Linked DNA regions of Saccharomyces cerevisiae S288C. The protein of the gene in region 1 binds, or shares a complex with, the protein of each later gene. Each region holds a gene or a part of one and is shown in the gene's direction. Other genes may lie near its edges.

What was found.
Region 2: PRP18 (region 1) and SMD3 share a complex: the UniProt entries of both Saccharomyces cerevisiae proteins name them as parts of the U4/U6-U5 tri-snRNP complex.
Region 3: PRP18 (region 1) and PRP4 share a complex: the UniProt entries of both Saccharomyces cerevisiae proteins name them as parts of the U4/U6-U5 tri-snRNP complex.
Region 4: PRP18 (region 1) and SMD2 share a complex: the UniProt entries of both Saccharomyces cerevisiae proteins name them as parts of the U4/U6-U5 tri-snRNP complex.

The regions. Positions count from the first base shown.
Region 1 is NC_001139.9:504,283-507,325, forward strand, and holds PRP18 (mRNA splicing protein PRP18), read left to right. Parts: upstream 1-1,787; coding exon 1,788-2,543; downstream 2,544-3,043. Other genes in the region: PEX31 (peroxisome biogenesis protein), read left to right, coding at 1-44; transcription factor IIF subunit TFG2, read right to left, coding at 375-1,577; ECT1 (ethanolamine-phosphate cytidylyltransferase), read left to right, coding at 2,687-3,043. UniProt on the Saccharomyces cerevisiae protein: Component of the U4/U5/U6 snRNP, binding principally to the u5 snRNP. It is not absolutely required for the second step of pre-mRNA splicing at low temperatures but is required at higher temperatures.
Region 2 is NC_001144.5:433,658-436,306, reverse strand, and holds SMD3 (mRNA splicing protein SMD3), read left to right. Parts: upstream 1-1,843; coding exon 1,844-2,149; downstream 2,150-2,649. Other genes in the region: tethering complex subunit PEP3, read right to left, coding at 1-1,666; YLR146W-A (uncharacterized protein), read right to left, coding at 2,249-2,437; SPE4 (spermine synthase), read left to right, coding at 2,582-2,649. UniProt on the Saccharomyces cerevisiae protein: Plays a role in pre-mRNA splicing as a core component of the spliceosomal U1, U2, U4 and U5 small nuclear ribonucleoproteins (snRNPs), the building blocks of the spliceosome. Also binds telomerase RNA and is required for its accumulation.
Region 3 is NC_001148.4:890,532-894,229, forward strand, and holds PRP4 (U4/U6-U5 snRNP complex subunit PRP4), read left to right. Parts: upstream 1-1,800; coding exon 1,801-3,198; downstream 3,199-3,698. Other genes in the region: DPB2 (DNA polymerase epsilon noncatalytic subunit), read left to right, coding at 1-512; Rab geranylgeranyltransferase BET2, read right to left, coding at 570-1,547; HDA3 (Hda3p), read right to left, coding at 3,266-3,698. UniProt on the Saccharomyces cerevisiae protein: Involved in RNA splicing. Is required for the association of U4/U6 snRNP with U5 snRNP in an early step of spliceosome assembly.
Region 4 is NC_001144.5:692,656-695,300, forward strand, and holds SMD2 (mRNA splicing protein SMD2), read left to right. Parts: upstream 1-1,722; coding exon 1,723-1,727; intron 1,728-1,817; coding exon 1,818-2,145; downstream 2,146-2,645. Other genes in the region: MCM DNA helicase complex subunit MCM5, read left to right, coding at 1-1,227; DBP9 (ATP-dependent DNA/RNA helicase), read right to left, coding at 2,391-2,645. UniProt on the Saccharomyces cerevisiae protein: Plays a role in pre-mRNA splicing as a core component of the spliceosomal U1, U2, U4 and U5 small nuclear ribonucleoproteins (snRNPs), the building blocks of the spliceosome.

The DNA.
Region 1 (3,043 bases):
AATTAATACAAATATCTGATGTTTCAATGTCTCCTTCTCTATAATGAGTGCATGCCCCATATGGACAACAACGTTCACACTGGTCGGTGCAAGGGCACACAGCAATCTCAGAGTTTCTTTCATTGGCTGCATGGAGCACAAATTCAATCTTGTGCTTTAAAGTATCTGCGCGGTTATGGCAAGTTCTCCATCAGTCTCTTATTCCAGCAAGCATTCTTTTACGGAACTTCAATGCATCTAAATACATATGTACAGATAGCCAAAACTAATAGAGACATAATAAATTAAACAAAACTGTAAATTTTAAAAAGAGTATATATAGGGCTCAAGAAACTGCGTAAATATAAAATTAATGAAGAAAATCTGATTGTCAACTAAACGACATCTTCCATTTCTATTTCATCTTCCAAGTCAGCCTCCGCGTCTCCTTGCGCATTGTCTCCAGCGGAACCTGTTTGCTCATCAGCTAGTTCACCTAAGGTTGCCTTTCTCTCCTCCTCTTTCAACTTTTTATACTCTGGCCTTAAAGTGTATTTGAATGCATATGGGCCCTTCTTCACTAGAGTGGCAACTTTATCCAAACACTCCTTTAAATGTGCTTCAGGTTGCCTAGTACGTTCCTTCAACCCCTTCAAGGACCAGTAGTCATACTCATCAAATAACTTGAACAAGTAATCCAAGATTTCCTTCTTTGGCATACGAATAGATTTAATATTGCTCTTGGCCTTCTCACGCCCCACTTTCAAGAAATTCGAGTTGTCTGACCTCATGGACATACCTGTGTGGCTCATCGTAACACCAACGGTTTCATCCAAAGTTGTGATCCTTTCCTTATTATTAAGCTTGACAATATTTCTTCTCTGTTCAACAATCTTGTGATAATTAGGATCATTCATTGATGGCATAACCTGACATTCGTGGCAAACTGTACCCACAATGGCGGTTTTTTTGGGAATCGTCTTCACATATGGTATATATCTATCTCTACCATCCCTATCTGTCATAACTCTGTGATTAAACTTTTTTCTATTATTTCTACGTTTTTGCTGCTGCTGCTTCTTCTTAAGTTCCTCTTCACGTTCTTGCTTCTTCAGGTAAGCTTGCCTTTGCTTTTCAGGATCTGCTTCCAACTCCTTTTTACGTTGTTGATATTTCTTTAAATTTTGTTCTGTGAAAACATATTCATTTTCTACTACTTTCTTTGTAAGTTCTAAATCATATTCGTGCGGTATAGAATCGTTATCATTTTCATTCAATAGAAGTGTGATTTTACTCCCATCCTTGTTTATCCTAATTTTACCCAGTTCTTGGCCATGCAAGTTGTTTCTGTCCCTCCATTTCTCTGCTAGAAACATGGGCAATCTAACTAACCAGACTTGTCTATTACTACGTTCCAAGTCCAAATCTAAGGATTCTTCATAAACTTTGGTTTCATTATTCTCAATATCATTACCGTCAAAAACTTCCTCCTCTTGCGAAAGATACTCATCACCGGAAATGTTACCTGATTTCTCCTTCGCGACAGAGTTCGTGGAATTATTAGAAAGTGCTGGTGCCCCTGCTGAACCACTGCTCATGGTGTTAAGTTGGTCTTCTATTTTACTCTTAATATTGCGTTATGCGTTGAAGCCAACAGCATATGTCTTATTCTTCTAATTTCAAGCCTGATAATTTATTCATTTCGCGCAAGGGAAGATGAAAAAGTTAAGAAGAGAATCGACCTTTGGAAAGGGCCCCAATGGAAAGAACTTCAATGTTTTTTCCTCTACAAGTAATAAGAGCATAAAATGGACCTAGATCTAGCCAGTATCTTAAAAGGTGAAATTTCTAAGAAGAAGAAAGAGCTGGCCAACTCTAAAGGTGTTCAGCCACCATGCACTGAGAAATTCCAGCCACATGAATCCGCAAACATAGACGAAACACCGCGACAGGTAGAACAAGAAAGTACAGATGAAGAAAACCTGTCAGACAATCAGAGTGACGATATTAGGACCACCATTAGCAAATTAGAAAATCGGCCAGAAAGGATACAAGAAGCGATAGCTCAAGACAAAACCATCTCTGTAATCATTGATCCATCACAAATTGGTTCTACTGAAGGAAAACCTCTTTTGTCAATGAAATGTAATTTATATATTCACGAAATATTATCTCGTTGGAAGGCGTCTTTGGAAGCTTATCATCCGGAGCTGTTCTTAGACACTAAAAAAGCACTCTTTCCACTCCTACTGCAACTACGAAGGAACCAGCTTGCCCCGGATTTACTTATTTCCCTTGCGACCGTTCTCTATCATTTACAACAACCTAAAGAAATAAATTTAGCCGTTCAGTCCTATATGAAACTCAGTATCGGCAATGTGGCCTGGCCTATTGGTGTTACTAGCGTAGGCATTCATGCTCGTAGTGCACATTCGAAAATTCAAGGAGGCCGGAATGCTGCTAACATAATGATTGATGAAAGAACGCGATTATGGATTACCAGTATTAAAAGATTAATAACTTTTGAAGAATGGTATACCAGCAACCACGATAGCTTAGCCTAATTGTTGAACTATTGTTTTCGTTATCGCGTGGCACGATATCATGCGGCCAAAATAAGAAGCAAGAATGCAGATGTTGATAGCCTTTGTTCAATTTTCCAGAGACAAATGCTTTACAGGATCGGGACTTGAAATATACTGACTGGATGACGGTAAACTTAGATCCGGATAAAGTTTGGATAGACGGCTGCTTTGATTTCACACATCATGGGCATGCGGGAGCCATTTTGCAGGCTCGTCGAACAGTTTCAAAAGAAAATGGTAAACTATTCTGTGGTGTGCATACCGATGAAGATATTCAGCATAACAAAGGAACACCAGTAATGAACTCTTCAGAAAGATATGAGCATACTAGATCAAATAGGTGGTGTTCGGAAGTGGTTGAAGCGGCGCCATATGTTACAGATCCCAATTGGATGGATAAATATCAGTGCCAATATGTTGTTCATGGTGATGATATCACCATAGATGCTAATGGAGAAGACTGCTATAAGTTGGTGAAA
Region 2 (2,649 bases), on another chromosome or scaffold:
TCAAAGAGTACTTATAGACTAGGTCATGGTTATTTATTGTAAGCAGAATTTTCAAGGACTCATACCAATTTCCTTGGTCAATCCAAAATGATAATAAAAACTTCATATCGTTGATTAGACTAGCAAAAATCAATAATTCGTTTTGCCGGTTTTGTTTGGACATTATTTGATAAACGGTTTCATTATCAAGTTTTTCTAGATGGCTTTCCAAAAATTTCGTTAGTTCATTCGATTTCTCCTTGAGATTCAGGTTCCAGTTTAGCAAATTGTCTTCATCAGTAGAAGCTGGCTTAGTTGTGTTTATCTTTAATTCAATATCATTCAATTGTTTCATAAAATTCCAAATAATCCAACTCGACAAGACGACTTGAGTTGATTTCCAGGGAACGTTATCCAACTGTTTTATCAATATTACGTTCAAATCGTTGTAATCTTTTATTTGGAGAAAATTCAATGCGATTTCCCCAAAGTGTGACAAGTCCTTCATGCTTCCCAAAGTTTGAGCCGCGGAATGAAAATCTTTAGCAGTGTGGAAAAGGTACATTGCCTTTGAAAGTTTTACAGATTCTATTTCCCTCACCGTCAAGCCTTTCAACGATAGGGCCTTGTCAAATTTGTTATCCCGAACTAATAAATTCCATACCGAATTAGGCTCATTTTCGATAATAATTTCAAAGACGTTGATGTTTGAGAAACACCAAAACGTTTCTTTCACCGAATCTCTTACTAGGCCTAAAAATTTCTCATTACTATCAGTGTTGGAGCCAGTCAACTGGTGTCTCGGTATAGTTTCATGAAACACTACGTCGTTATTTAATTGACTCACCATTGTTACCGTATTTTTTCTCAAAAGCAGGATGTGGAAAGCAGTCAAAACTATATCCTTGATGAGGTGATCTTTATCATTCTGGTAGTCAGGCAGTTCGAAATTGAGTAGAACCTTCGACGAAGATAGGAATTTTCCAAAATTATTAGAAGCAGGATCTTTTTCCATTTGCTTTTCTTTTAAATCACCAAAGACAATTCCATTGGATGTGACCCAAGCAAAGAGTCCATTGTACGAATCGAATTTCTTTATCGCATGATGTTTTAACCTTTCAAATTGCTCAGATTCATCTGGTAATACTAAAGGAAATTTCATATTTGTCACGTCTCTCCAGTATAAAATGTTGTCTTTTATAGTTAATAGCAGAGAGCCCTCCCAATACGCAATGCCATCAATTCCACCAGAGAGTTTCTTGTTTTCATACCATAGCTTCGTGGTTATATCCTTTCCTGTCAATTCAACTCGGTACAACTTGGGCGTCTTCTTGATTCCCATCAGAAAGGTGGTTTCGTTGATCCAATGTAGCGAGCTGAGGTCGAGATTTTTTATTTTGTTCAATTGAGTGAATTCGCCATCCTTTAGCAACATATACCGGCCAAAGTTGGTTCGAATAAGAATGACACTACCCATTGGTGAAACATGAACATTCATTATAGTTTCTAGTTCCTTGCTTAATGGACAGTCAAAGTGATTGACGATGGCCGGATCTTGTAAATTTATTCTGTAAATTGTCCGTTGTGTCGTTACTATAAGTTGATCATTGGAGACTTTCAAATGCGTAAGTTCGGTATTCCCTGTGAGGAATTGTAACTGAACTTCCTCTATACGTGTTTTTATCATTATATCCCTATATTTCTCTTTTTACTTCTTGGTACCTTATAGTTTTTACTTTTCTAGGGATGGCAGCTTCTTATTTCTTTCGTTCTATAGATTTGATATTTTTGAAATCGTTAAAAAATTCTTATAAGAGCAATACGAAGAGAATCAGAAAGCGCTGCGAGGCACGTATCAGAAACAATGACTATGAATGGAATACCAGTGAAATTATTAAATGAGGCACAGGGACATATCGTTTCTCTGGAGCTAACAACGGGAGCGACTTATCGTGGTAAACTTGTTGAAAGCGAAGATAGCATGAACGTACAGCTAAGAGATGTAATAGCTACAGAGCCCCAGGGGGCTGTAACACACATGGATCAAATATTCGTACGTGGGTCACAGATCAAATTTATCGTTGTTCCAGATCTCTTAAAGAATGCACCATTATTCAAAAAAAACTCATCAAGACCTATGCCACCAATAAGAGGACCTAAGAGAAGGTGATAATAGGAAACGTGACGGCAGAAACGCATTCATCATTGTAGGGGGAATATATATATATATTAATATTGTTTATGTAAAATATATTTGAATATAAATTTATCAGTTCGCACTGTTCGTGGTTGAATCCGCTGTTGTAGATGATTCCTTTATTTGTTCAAACTCGTTAAGATCGCAGCGAATTTGAGAATTCGTATCCCGCAACTGAGCAAATAACTGTTGTATTTCATTTTGCAACATCCGGGCATGCTCTACTGACGCTGTAGTCTTTTTTTTCTCTTCAGTGTCCATGGCTACTTCGAGCTTCTCTTTATTGCTAGATCCTTTTTAAGGTTATCTCAAAATTTTTCAAGTTGCTGCTGATTTTAGTTAAAAATAAAATATCAAAACGCCGATGAGACAGGCAGGATAAAGTGACAGATTCAGTTATACATTATGGTTAATAATTCACAGCATCCTTACATCAAAGATGGATGGTTTAGAGAGATTAATGATAAAAGTTT
Region 3 (3,698 bases), on another chromosome or scaffold:
GTAAAAACGTTGTATGGAGCTCAAATCCAACTAGAATAGCATACTTATCCCAAGAAATAGTCATTTTCAGGGACGATTTATCCGGAAGATTCAAAAGACACCGTTTGGAATTCCCATTCAACGAGAGCGAAGATGTTTATACTGAAAACGATAACATGATGTCTAAAGACACCGATATTGTACCAATCGATGAATTAGTTAAAGAACCAGACCAGTTACCACAAAAGGTTCAAGAAACAAGAAAACTCGTTAAAACAATACTAGACCAGGGTCATTTATCGCCATTTCTTGATTCCTTGCGCCCAATTTCATGGGATTTGGACCACACTTTGACACTTTGCCCAATACCATCGACAATGGTTCTTTGCGACACTACTTCTGCACAATTTGATTTGACATACAACGGTTGTAAAGTAATTAACCCTGGAAGTTTCATTCATAATAGACGTGCTAGGTATATGGAGTACGTTCCATCCTCAAAGAAAACTATACAAGAAGAGATATATATCTAAATAATGCATCAAAATAAGAACACTTAAACAAGCACGGTAGTGTTGGTACTCTGCCATCTATTTGTATGGATACTTTTTGAATTTTGATGTAACGGATTTCGGCATACAATATATGGGATCTATGGGGACTAAATTGTCGTATCCCATTAAACTTAAACCAGCAACACCAAAAACTGTATGGAAGACATCCACTTCATTTTCAGGCCTGTCGCTTATTCCACCCTTCTTCTCATCTTGACATTTGAGTATAAACTCAGTTAGCTTCTCATAATTTATCCAATCTAGTCTACCAATAATAGCTAATGAAGATAAAACCCACCAACTATAGCAAACATCGGGCAGTTTACTTGGCCTACCGTTTAGTCCACCTTCTGGTAATTGTCGTTCGCAAAGCCACCACCCAATTTCTTCTAGTTGGTCGTCACTAAGCATATCCAATTTGTTAGCAATTGCCAAAGCGCCAAGACAGGTAAAAGCTTGAGCTGCATGGGATTCAGCATTAGGACATAATCCAAAGCCACCATCAAAATTATAACACTTGAGTACAAAGTCTACAGCAGGGTCAACAACTTCAGACGTTAATTCACCCAAAATTGATAGTGCACTCAAGGCTGTATAAACAAACCTTGTATCTACCTCCCCAAACCTGTCACCCTGGAACGAACCATCTTCCAATTGATTCCCACGGATGAAGGAAATCAAGCGAACCTTACGATCTTTTCCAAGAACATCCAAAGCATCATAAGTGGCCAAGATCTGTACGGCGGACAATGTAGTTAATAAATGTGCATCATGTCTTGGAAATGGTGCGAAAGCGCCGTATTTGTCGTCCCAACAGCTCAGAACAAATGATATAACCTCTTCTTTCACAAATGTCTCTGGAGAATCAAGCACACACAAGGCAGTAAGTCCCCAATATATCCCATTCAAACGAAGATGCTCGGTAAGCCAGTATTCAAAATTATGCTTCTTTGTATCCAATGATTCAATATAACGTATATGCTTTTCCTTAAGTAGCGTAAGAGATCCTGACATGTTCACAATTTTCTAGTGGAGAAAACAGAATCATTAGTAACAGTAGTGGTATCTGAAATATATATATACACAGTTTCTTAAATTGTTGTCTTTACTACTGGTATTACTATCGCTATTACAAGCGAAGTCATTAAGTACGGAAATGTTTAAACGTAGAGAGCTAGTAAAGGAAAGGCTGTTACATGATCACTAATCGTAACTTTGCAACGAGCCTGAGGGAAATGACTAGTACTATTACCTTGTTGAACGGAATATGAGTAAATATATTGCACTTGAAAATCTTCCGGTAGATTTGCAACATAAAGGAGCTACACAAAATGAAAGCACCGCTGATATACTGAAACAGTTGCCACATGAACGATTACAAGCTGTCCTGGAGAAGATACCAGAAGAAGATCTTGAGGTGAGACGATTGCTTTCAATTTTAAAGAAGCCGGAAGTAGTGGAGAATGAAGATGTACAACAAAGAAGAATACGGTTGGCTGAAATTTTAATGGTTGATGAAATTGATCTTGAGAACATTAATAACATGGAAAACATAAATGGGGAAGAAGTAGACGAAGAGGACGATGAGGACTTCTTCACTCCAGCAACATCTGAGCTCATTTTTGCGAGAAGATTTTTGATAAATTATTCACTTGAAAGATCTCGAAAGAGGCTACAGAAAGAGATGGAAAGACATCAAAAGTTCAATACAAGACAGGAATTACTCAGTCGGCGTACAGAATTACAGCGTATGGCTAATTTAGAGCTTGCTGGCTCTCAATTAGTATCTACGAAGCCTATTTCCGCAGTTTCTTTATCTACCGATGACATGGTTGTCGCAACGGGAAGCTGGGCAGGTGATCTTCAGGTATTAAATTCTCAAACACTGCAGCCATTGACACAAAAACTCGACTCTCATGTAGGGAAAATCGGAGCTATAGATTGGCATCCTGATTCAAACAATCAAATGATTTCATGCGCAGAAGACGGGCTCATCAAAAACTTTCAATACTCAAACGAAGAGGGCGGCCTTCGATTATTGGGAGATCTTGTGGGACATGAAAGACGTATTTCTGATGTGAAATACCACCCTAGTGGCAAATTTATAGGTAGTGCCTCTCATGATATGACTTGGAGACTTTGGGATGCGTCAACACATCAAGAACTGCTGCTACAAGAAGGCCATGATAAGGGAGTGTTTAGTCTGTCTTTTCAATGCGATGGATCTCTTGTTTGTAGCGGTGGCATGGACTCGCTTTCAATGCTATGGGATATAAGATCCGGAAGTAAGGTGATGACACTCGCAGGACACTCAAAGCCTATTTACACCGTAGCTTGGTCACCAAACGGGTATCAAGTAGCCACTGGTGGTGGTGATGGAATCATTAATGTTTGGGACATCAGAAAACGGGATGAAGGCCAACTAAATCAAATATTGGCGCATCGTAACATCGTTACGCAGGTAAGGTTTTCAAAGGAAGACGGCGGAAAGAAACTTGTCTCTTGTGGCTATGATAATTTGATCAATGTGTATAGTAGTGATACGTGGTTAAAAATGGGAAGTTTAGCAGGCCACACTGATAAAATTATTAGCTTGGATATTTCGAATAATTCTCATTTTTTAGTGAGCGGCGGATGGGATAGGTCTATCAAGCTCTGGAATTGATTGTGTAAAGAAATGTATTTAGTATTTTTGAAACTAACGTTTTATTAACACTGCATTATTTATTTAATTATACATTTCCTGGTTTTTTTGCCCTGGATTTTTTTTTTGTGTTACCATTTTGAGTACGAACTCGTGGAATTGTTAAGTTTTCCAAGTTGTCCATCGTCTTCGATAACTGTCCCACTAACTCCTCGTTTAGATCATTCTCAAGCTTTAATTCCTTTTTCAAAAAGCCAATTTTCTCATTCAATTCTTTTGTAGAGATTTCAGACTTTTCGAATTTCAATTTCAACTCACTTTCTAATCCATTTTGTTTCTCATTAAGTTTGTGTGTCTCCTCCTCATTTTCCCTTATAGCATCAACGGCTCTTTTGATTTCTTGTTCCATATATTTCTTCTCAGTATCCCTTGATACACTTACCCTTTCTTCTTTCTCGATCTCGTCTTGTACATTGTCTGTTTTAACGAAAGCGTCTTTTAACTTTGATAATGTTTCACCT
Region 4 (2,645 bases), on another chromosome or scaffold:
GAAATTTTGACCAACTCTATTGCCCCCTCTATTTTTGGTAATGAAGATATAAAAAAAGCCATTGTATGTTTATTGATGGGTGGTTCCAAGAAGATATTACCCGATGGTATGAGGTTAAGAGGTGATATCAATGTACTATTATTAGGTGATCCAGGTACCGCCAAATCTCAACTATTGAAATTTGTGGAGAAAGTGTCACCTATTGCGGTATATACATCTGGTAAGGGATCTTCTGCAGCTGGGTTAACTGCCAGTGTACAAAGAGATCCGATGACAAGAGAATTTTATTTGGAAGGTGGTGCTATGGTGCTTGCCGATGGTGGTGTTGTATGCATCGATGAATTCGATAAAATGAGAGATGAAGATAGAGTGGCCATTCATGAAGCTATGGAGCAGCAAACAATCTCCATCGCAAAAGCTGGTATCACTACAGTGCTAAATTCTAGAACTAGTGTTTTAGCGGCTGCTAATCCGATATACGGCCGGTATGATGATTTGAAGTCTCCTGGTGACAACATTGATTTCCAAACTACTATTTTATCCCGTTTTGATATGATTTTTATTGTTAAGGATGACCATAATGAAGAACGTGATATTTCAATAGCTAACCACGTTATTAATATTCATACAGGAAATGCTAATGCTATGCAAAACCAACAAGAGGAAAATGGCAGTGAAATTAGTATTGAAAAGATGAAACGTTACATTACGTATTGTAGATTGAAATGTGCACCAAGACTTTCACCGCAGGCCGCTGAAAAACTGTCATCGAACTTCGTCACCATTAGGAAGCAATTATTAATCAACGAATTAGAGTCAACGGAAAGGTCGTCTATTCCAATTACCATTCGTCAATTAGAAGCTATTATTAGAATAACAGAATCATTAGCCAAGTTAGAATTAAGTCCTATTGCACAGGAGAGACATGTTGACGAAGCTATTAGATTGTTTCAAGCTTCCACAATGGACGCAGCGTCTCAGGATCCAATTGGCGGCTTAAATCAAGCAAGCGGAACATCTTTGTCAGAAATCCGTCGTTTTGAACAAGAACTAAAAAGAAGATTACCTATAGGCTGGTCTACTTCTTATCAAACTTTGAGGAGAGAATTTGTAGATACACATAGATTTTCTCAATTAGCACTGGATAAGGCCTTATATGCCCTAGAGAAGCATGAAACAATTCAATTGAGACACCAGGGACAGAATATTTACAGAAGTGGTGTATGACAACAATAAAGTCTTAGCTTGACGCCTTTTCTACTTGTTTGCATGTAATGAATCTAAAAAATTCGCTACAAATACTTCATTATTATATTTCTATATAAATTCTGTAAACGAAATTATACTTTTTGAGGTTTCATCTGCGTCTCATATTCTTTTTGTATAATAAACGCACAGACTTGATATGACCGTCAATCAAAATAATTCAAAGCTTCTTAAAAAAGAAATTGAAATCAAAGACATACGAAAGAAATTAGAAAATAGAGGTCGATTTACCACTGAACAATCCTACAGTACATGAGCTCTTGAAGTGACTTTATGGGGACCAATTTGTCCTATCGTGATATTACTACGGGTAATACTACCAAATGAAAATTATCTTACTCAAAAGGTATGACAAGAACATCATCACTAGAACATCATCATTCTTAATAGCAAGCGCCATCACGTTTGCCCCGCCTTTGACAGTTGATTAGAGGAGTATTATAAAACCGTTTTATCATGTCGTATGTTTGATCTTAACCATTTTTACATCCTATAATTTGGAGTGAATTTTTATATACTAACTTAAAAGTAATTGATTTGTATCTTTCCAGTTCACAAATAATTGATCGTCCAAAACATGAACTCTCTAGAGCAGAATTAGAGGAACTAGAAGAATTTGAATTCAAACATGGTCCAATGTCCCTGATAAATGATGCTATGGTGACAAGAACACCTGTGATAATCTCATTAAGAAACAATCATAAAATAATAGCGAGAGTGAAAGCTTTCGACAGGCATTGTAATATGGTTTTAGAAAATGTGAAGGAGCTTTGGACAGAGAAGAAGGGCAAAAATGTAATTAATCGGGAAAGATTCATAAGTAAACTATTCTTAAGAGGTGATTCAGTTATCGTTGTGTTAAAAACCCCTGTTGAGTAAAAAGTAAGACAAGCAGCCCTCAATCAACAAGGAAAGCAAATCATCGTAAGAAACTTTACAGTCAGCGGAAAGCCTTTTTTTATTTTGGAAGTAAGACCAATTATTATTGGCTGATTTTCTAGCTCTTGCGAAAGTATTATATTCAAGAAAACGAATAAAGCATCTATATTATCACATTTAACTAAAGAGCATTTTTAATAAGTAGATTTTTACATAAAATATAGAATAAATATCAATATTATTAATCATTTGAAGTTCTTCAACGGGTCTACTTTACCATTCTTTGGCTTACTGACTCTTCCCTTTTTATGTGAATGGCGCTTCTTAGCATTGTGGAAAGGAACAAACTTGACTTTGGTTCCATTTCCTCTGGCTGATTCAGGAAGCAAGTAATCTGGAACACGCTTTAAATGCTGTTGCACTCTTGCTGGATGTAATTCTTTATCGTGTCTTAAACTTTGTAGCTCTTTTGGATTCTCCTCAAAATGTCTTTTCAACTT